Linked DNA regions of Ovis aries. The protein of the gene in region 2 binds, or shares a complex with, the protein of the main gene of each other region. Links are inferred from orthologs where the notes say so. Each region holds a gene or a part of one and is shown on either strand. Other genes may lie near its edges.

Evidence for each region. Proteins that work in one complex are often made in the same cells at the same time.
Region 1: the proteins of KHNYN (region 2) and ZC3HAV1 are in contact, whole or in part, in a crystal structure (PDB 9BGL), measured with the Homo sapiens proteins. The link is inferred for Ovis aries from reciprocal best matches to the Homo sapiens genes KHNYN and ZC3HAV1. Residues at the interface, in NP_001277186.1 of Homo sapiens: His651, Lys652, Asp654, Phe655, Gln658, Arg659, Pro661, Tyr662, Asn677, Phe678; in NP_064504.2 of Homo sapiens: Glu5, Val6, Cys8, Phe9, Lys12, Ile13, Ala16, His17, Glu29, Ile30, Ala31, Leu32, Leu113, Glu115, Phe118, Ser127, Gly128, Leu129, Asn130, Glu133.

The regions. Positions count from the first base shown.
Region 1 is NC_056057.1:104,110,537-104,114,102, reverse strand, and holds part of ZC3HAV1 (zinc finger CCCH-type antiviral protein 1), read left to right. Parts: intron 1-1,520; coding exon 1,521-1,611; intron 1,612-3,164; coding exon 3,165-3,295; intron 3,296-3,566.
Region 2 is NC_056060.1:20,563,233-20,567,501, reverse strand, and holds the start of KHNYN (protein KHNYN), read left to right. Parts: upstream 1-1,444; 5' UTR 1,445-1,608; coding exon 1,609-1,717; intron 1,718-2,113; exon of another isoform or gene 2,114-4,269.

The sequences.
Region 1 (3,566 bases), on a different chromosome or scaffold from region 2:
CTGGGTTCCTCTGAGTATCTTTAGTTTTGTGGGATGGATTTACAGGGGGTGGGAGTTTGAGGGAGAAATGGGGGGAAAAAAGGGATGTAGCAGCTGCCTGGTAAAGCCTTTGAAGAAATACAAAGTTGATGAAAATGGATTTTTAAAGGAAATGTTGCTAAGGGATTCAGTGTGACAGCTCTGTCTGCTCATGAAACCCAGTCAAAACTACATTGTTGGAACTTCTCTGGTGGTCCAGAGGCCAGGACTTCATGCTCCCACCGCGGGACCTCAGTTTGATCCCTGGTCTGGGGACTAGATCCCACATGCCACAGCTAAAGATCCTGCATGCTGTGACTGTTTGATGCAGCCAAGTAAATAAATATAAAATGAACTGAGAAAACTGTTTGTGGGTGTTTGTGGAAAGAAGTAGCTTGAATCCAATACTTTTGCCACCTGATGCGAAGAACTGACTCACTGGAAAAGACCGAGATGCTGGGAAAGATTGAAGGCAGAAGGAGAAGGGGACGACAGAGGATGAGATGGTTGATGGCATCACCAACTCCATGGATGTGAGTTTGAGCAAGCTTTGGGAGTTGGTGATGGACAGGGCAACCTGGCATGCTGCAGTCCGTGGGGTCACAAAGAATCAGACATGACTGATTGACTGAACTGAACTGAGCTTAAATCCTGCTATCACAAACCCAGAAGAGACACATGGCTTTAGGATAGAATAAAGGCTGTGAGTGCTACTCTGAACAATCTGAAGAGAAGTGAATGATAGCATTTTTGATGAGCACCTTACAACAAACATATTAATTGAATCTGTTTTGCACTATACCAGTACAGTATGAAAATCAGAATTTAACATATAAACTGGGGCCAGCTTCTTTCTTTCCAAAAGAGTTTTCATTTTATGAAAGGAGGTTTTTAAAGAGTTTTTTCCTTAAAGCATTTTTAAAAATGTAATGTTCTCATAATGGAAAATATCAAACTTAAAGAAAATTATGTGATAAACCCCTATGTACATGTTAGGGGTTCTCTATTTAAGGGTGGAGAACCCTCAAATGTATGGTTACTCTTCCTGAAATACAGTTCATACAGGAAAGGCAGGATTCTCTTCCTATACCACTAAAGTGTTTAAATATTTATCACTTGGAAGAGAAGCTGTAAGACAAACTTACGTTTTTTAATATTATTTTTTGACTATGCCTGGAGAATCCTATGGACCGAGGAGCCTGGTGGGCTACAGTCCATTGGGTCACAAAGAGTCGGACATGACTGAGTGACTAACACAACACAAGGCATATGGGATCTTAGTTCTCCCACCAGGGATCAAACTCATGTCCCCCTTGTATTGGAAGCATGGATTCCTAACCATTGGACCACCAGGGAAGTCCCCTAGCCTTACTTAATGCTAACACATTAGGACTTAGAAAATTTCCAGAGGAACTTCAGCTTAGTTGGAGTTAAGCACAGAAAATCACTTGGGTGTATCAAACAGGGAGCCAGATAAATTTCTTTCTCTCTCTTGTTTCTAGCCCTCAGCAGGGGCAGACCTCCTCAGAACCTTTCGTCACTATATATCTTCCCCAACCGGACGCGAGCGTCTCAGTCTCGAATAGCTTTGAGGTACTTGCTTTTTACTCTGTAGTGGGTGAATTATTTAAAGATGCAACAAAGTACTTTGCTACAAATGTGTGTGGTTGAATGAATGAATGAGTGAAGGAGTGAATGAATCACTTCTGCAAAACCCTTGAAACGAGACTCAAAGGCTAACATCCGAATGGTGACTGTGTCACATGCCACTTTCCAAAGGAGACGGGCACCTCGTTGTTTCCAGAGTTCTGGCACGCACGATCTCCTTGGGACAGATGCTCATGACAAACTTGTAAAATAGATATTTGCTTCTCTACCTTACAGGCGAGCAAACTGGAACTGACAGTAAGAGCAACTTGTTAACTCCATTCATTGGAGTTAAAAAGCAGGTTGCTATGGGACTCAAAGTGGGCCTCAGCTTACCTGGTTGGGGCGACTCTTTTTAAAAAAATTTTATTTAGTTATTTATTTTTGGGTATGCTGGGTCTTTGTTGTTAGTTTTCTCTAGTTGTGGCAAGCAGAGGCTAATCTCTAGTTGTGGTATACAAGCTTCTCATTGCAGTGGCCTTCTCTTGTTGCAGAACATGGGCTGTAGGGCATGCAGGCTTCAGTAGTTGCAGCACACGAGTTCAGTAGTTGTGGTGCCGGGCTTAGTTGCCCTGCAGCATGTGGAATCTTCCTGGACCAAGGATTGAACCCATGTCCCCTGCATTGGCAGGCAGATTGTTAACCACAGGATCACCAGGGAAGTCCAGGGGCAAGATTCTTCCTGGATCATTTAGCTACATCAGAGCCGAGCTTTGGGTGCAGGCTACTCTGCCTGGGCTCCTTGGGTACCTCCATTGCCTCTGCTCCTGCACTGGCTTTAAGCAAAGAACTCACCAGGTCACTGGACTGAATCACACACCTGGGGGTGTGGGGCGGGGAGGGGCGTGTGCTGTTTGCCTTCAGGCTAATGCTCTGCTAGCCTTGAACAGATGGGCTCCGGGCCATCTAGTTCATCACTGGAAGGAACTATCAGATGTGGAAACCCTAAGCCTGCTTATCCTACCTGCTGTCAGAGGGTTGGCAAGGGTACTCCATGGCCACACATATGGACATGTGCTGTGCTAAGCCACTGCATCGTGTCCAGTTCTTTGGAACCCTATGGACTATAGCCCTCCAGTCTCCTCTGTCCACGGGATTCTCTGGGCAAGAATACTAGAATGGGTTGCCATGCCTTCCTCCAGGGGTTCTGACCCAGGGATCGAACTCCCAGTCTCTTGGATCTCCTGCATTGGCAGGCAGGTTCTTGACCACTAGCGCCACCTGCGAAGCCCACATAGGGACATGGAGTGAAAGTGAAAGTCGCTCAGTCGTGTCCGACTCTTTGCGACCTCGTGGACTATACAGTCCATGGAATTCTCCAGGTCAAAATACTGGAGTAGGGAGCCGTTCCCTTCCCCAGGGGATCTTCCCAACCCAGGGATCGAACCCAGGTCTCCCGCATTGCAGGTGGATTCTTTGCCAGTTGAGCCACAAGGGAAGCCCCATCATGCCTTAAGTGTTTCCTGCTTCACATTTACATATTTTTAAATTTCTTTCAGTTGCTTGAAATCCCTAACAATACTCCAGAATATGCTAAAGTAAGTGATCATTTTAAAGCTTCCATGAGAAATTTCAAGATTGAAAAGATAAAGAAGGTCCAGAACTCACAGCTCTTGAAGGCTTTTAAAAGGTGGGTGGCCACCTTATCGGGCTTCTCTTGACATAAAGTTTGAAAGGATTAGTGAAAACCTATCTTTGAAGATTTATATTCACTTTTTTATTTTGGTGGTCAACAGTTTCTTCAATCTCTAGTTGTGTTTTCATAGTGTAAGCTCAAACTTCTCTGTTTCAGTTTTAGCTTTACAATTAAATGCTTTCATGCATCTATCATTTAAAAGTTTTCATGTATTTATTTATTTTATAGCTGTTGCCTTAATGTTAGTAGCTCCATTCTGAAAGCT
Region 2 (4,269 bases):
AACCTGTATAAAGTTAGTGACCTGCACCCCAATCACCTTATACGTAATACGCTCTTGCTAGCCTGTTCACATGTGAACTGGGTCAGAGCACTGCCCTTCTCCTTACTCACTGCCTCCCTTTCCCTGCTCCTGGTTTCTGGGATCTCTAAGTAATAAGTCTTTCAATTTTACTTCCTTTGTGGATTGTACTGTACCTTCAATCAAAACAACTGCAGGTCTTTACTTCCCCAGCTGGGCAACCGAGGGAGTCACTTGCTGATCCCGTGTGGTTGTGCCTCCTCATTTAGCAGGTCATAATCTGCATATTCTTAATTTAATACGCCAGCTACATGTCCCCCAACACATAAAGGGTGCCATTTTCCCTCAGCTAATAAATGGTGCTATTTTGTAAGTTTCTACACTCCTGTAAAATGAATAAAAGGAGATTGCAGTATCTAGATTGCAAAGGACCTAAAAAAATCTCATTAAGGAATATGGTTTTAATCCTAGACCCTCTCCCTTCCCCCACAATCCCCTAAAGGGCTTTAAGGCAGTGAAGCTCTTTTAACTAGATCACTATGGCAACCCCAGTGTGAAGAACAGACTCACCAAAGGCCAAGGGGCCAGTTAGGATGCTTTCATAGAACTCTATCTGCGATGTGGGTCGGTAGTTTGAGCCAGGATGGGTGGGAAACAATGGATGGAACTGATGGATGTGAGTGACTGGATGGGGTCGTGGGAGAGGGAGGCAGGATTGTGGCTGGTTGTTTCCTTGGGGCAACAGAGATGGTCTATTTTGAGACACAGAGAATAAAGCAGGAAACAGATTAAGGGATGAAAGCCTAGTTTTAGCAAGTTTACTTTGAGGTGGGATAGGCAACGTGGCAATCCACTCCAGTACTATTGCCTGGAAAATCCCATAGACAGAGGAGCCTGGTAGGCTACAGTCCATGGGGTCGCAAAGAGTCGGACACGACTGAGCGACTTCACTTCACTTCAGGCAACGTACAAGCCTGAGATTTAGGAGGGAGGTTATGGACAGAGATTAAAGAACGTGGAAGTTGTCAGCACATGGACGGAGACGCGTGCTTTTAGGAATGCGTCAGGACAAAAGGAATTCTAAGACAGAACCTCGAGGGAAACTGCCATTTAGGAGATGGGCCGGGGTACAGGAGCCTGAAAAAGGCCTCAGCAGAGAGCTGCAGGGAGAGCCCAGAGCGTGTACAGTCAGGGAAGTGGGGGCAGGGAGTGCGTCTAGAAGGAGCAGGTGGCCAACAGGGTCAAATGTTAGGGAGAGCCTGAGTGACAGAGGACCAGACTATAGTGACATTAGTGACACGCGAGTCCTGCGTGACCAGCTGAGGGCAGTTCACATACAGCAGCAGAGGCCACAGTTGACTTAAGGCGTGAGCAACCTGGGCGCATAGGTATCTGGCTGTAAAGGGGAGGAGAGGTGACGCTCACTAGCATATAAAGCTGAGGGTAACTACATGTCTACCACGGTTTCCACATCCATCTCTTTCTGTTTTAGATTTAAGAGACTTGAGTCTATTTAACAGCTAAACAGAAGGAGGGAGTGGGGAGGGAGACATCTAACCTACAGGAGGGAGGAGAGGAAGAGAAAAGGCTATGTTTGCAGGAAACGGAATCCACGACAGGTGGATGAAGATAGCTGCCTCGACAGAGAGAAGGATACAACTTCTACTGAGCCAGATAGGAAGGAGAGATGAGGAGGACGGTGAGTTTCCGGATGTGCTGGTGGAAGGGTCTCTCCTGGGGTTTCTGCTTTCTCAGTGAAGCAGAGTGAAGAGTCTGCTGCGGGTGGTGGGGGCAGAGTTGGAGGAGTAAGAGGTTTAAGGAGAGAACAGAAGTCTTCAGCTGGATTCTGGGGAGGATGAGAAAAGAAGCTGGCAAAGAAAACCACAAAAGAACTGCTGGGAGAACAGAGGACCAGGGGCAGCAAGAGACCATGGATTTAGCAGCACAGCATACCCTTCAGCAGGACTTTTCTTTGTAGCAATCAGCTGCCAGGGCGTGGGTGTAGAGAAGGTGGACAGTTGGATTCTATTCTTAGGTTCCTTAAAGTCCTAGGAGATTTTTGTGTCTGGAGAGGAACACTAGCCACCATCTGTGCTTTATTTGTTGTCTAATTTATTTACTTCACAAAACCACTTATGCAAAAATCGTCTATATATTCAAACACTGTTTATATAACCAAGTCAAAATCTACACATTTTGCACATCAAATTATCTAAACATTGATCGCAAATTTAAATCTTCCTACACATTTCAGTAGAATCATCATTATAATATGTCAGCTTCTCTACATGTTTCAAACATTTCGGTAAAGCACACATATCTTATAAGGATTATAAACTTTTTTACACTTACACTCATTATAAAAATGGGTTTGTAAACCCAAGAGAAGGACATTATCTCAGTTTAGACCAATTATTGAATTTAGATATCCGAGGTTAAAGCGTCTGCCTCCAACACGGGAGACCCGGGTTCGATCCCTGGGTCGGGAAGATCCCCTGGAGAAGGAAATGGTAACCCACTCCAGTATTCTTTCCTGGAGAATCCCATGGACGGAGAAGCCTGGTAGGCTACAGTCTATGGGGTCGCAGAGTCGGACACGACTGAGCGACTTCACTCATGCACTCACTCAGAAGAATATTATCTCAGTGAGATGATGTTTTGAATTGTTAATCAAATTATTAATCATTATCATTAATTATGAATTCTTGGTTGGGACCTGGGAACTACTTGACCTTCTAAGATGATGAAAATATGAGCCAGTGTTTACGTTATATGATGTTTTGAATTGTTAATCAAATTATTAATTATTATCATTAATTATGAATTCTTGGTTGGGACCTGGGAACTACTTGACCTTCTAAGATGATGAAAATATGAGCCAGTGTTTACGTTATATATCACTGGAAATTTTCAAGTCCACACTTTTCCCACGAATTAGTGTGTTATAACTGGATACTTTCTCTTTAATTATTTCACCTTTAAGTTTAATGATTATAACATGCAGATGTCCCAAAGATGTCCATACCCAAACCTCCTGCGTTTAATGGTAAAGGGACATTTTCTATGTAATTAAAGTTACAGGTCTTAAAATAAAGAGATTTCCTGGATTATCTGTGTGGGCCCAATCTAATCATATGAGCCATTAAAATTAGAGAATTTTTAAAGTCAGAGACATAACCTAAGGGTAGGTCAGAGAAGTACTGTGAGAAGTACTTGGCCTGACCTTGTTGGCCCAAAGATTGATGGGTAGGAAACTCAATCCTGCAACTATGAGGAACTGAATTCTAAATGAGCTTGGGAATGGATCCTTTCAGTTCAATGAAGATGGCAGCCCTGCCTACATGACCTAATGAAACCCCGAGCAGAGAATCCAGTCATGCTTTGCTGGACTTCTGACCTATAGACACTGTGAGATAATAAATCAGTCAAAGTTGTGTTAAGAAATGAACTTTGCGGTAGTTGTTACAGGGCAATAGAAAACTAACACAATAACTTTACTGACATCATTTATAAACTTAGCTCATTTACATTTTTACAAACTCCCCCAATATGGTTGTTTTCCCCAATATCCAATTGCTCCTTCTTTCTTATATAACTCCTGACATTTAGCTGGACATGGCTGCCTGGAATAAGGACTTATTTTCTAGCCTTTCCACCCCTACCCAATGTGGACACATATGACAAAATTATAGCCAATGAGATGCAATCAGAATTGTTGGACTTCCCTGGTGGCTCAGATGGTAAAGCGTCTGTCTACAATGTGGGAGACCCAGGTTCGATCCCTGGGTTGGGAAGATCCCTTGGAGAAGGAAATGGCAATCCACTCCAGTACTATTGCCTGGAAAATCCCATGGACAGAAGAGCCTGGTAGGCTACAGTTCATGGGGTCACAAAGAGTCTGACATGACTGAGCGACTTCATGTTCACGTTCACCTCTCAGAAAGCTTCTTTTAAAGGAAATGGGTGTGTCCTTCCTTCCTCCTTCCTGGGGACTGTAAGGCTGATGTAATGGCTGGAGCTCAAGGGGCCATCTTGGGTCAGAAGGTGATATGCTAAAGGTGGTAGAACAGCAGAAGGGAAAGTGGGCTGTGATGCTCATAAAACTGCCATCCACTCCTGGGCTCTTTATTTGCAGATTCTTCTATGTGAGACAGAAATAATCTACCATTTCGTTTAAGCCAGTATTATTTTGGGTTTTAGTGTTACTGTAATCTGATTATAATTAGTAGGGTAGTATAGAGGCTTTCTTTC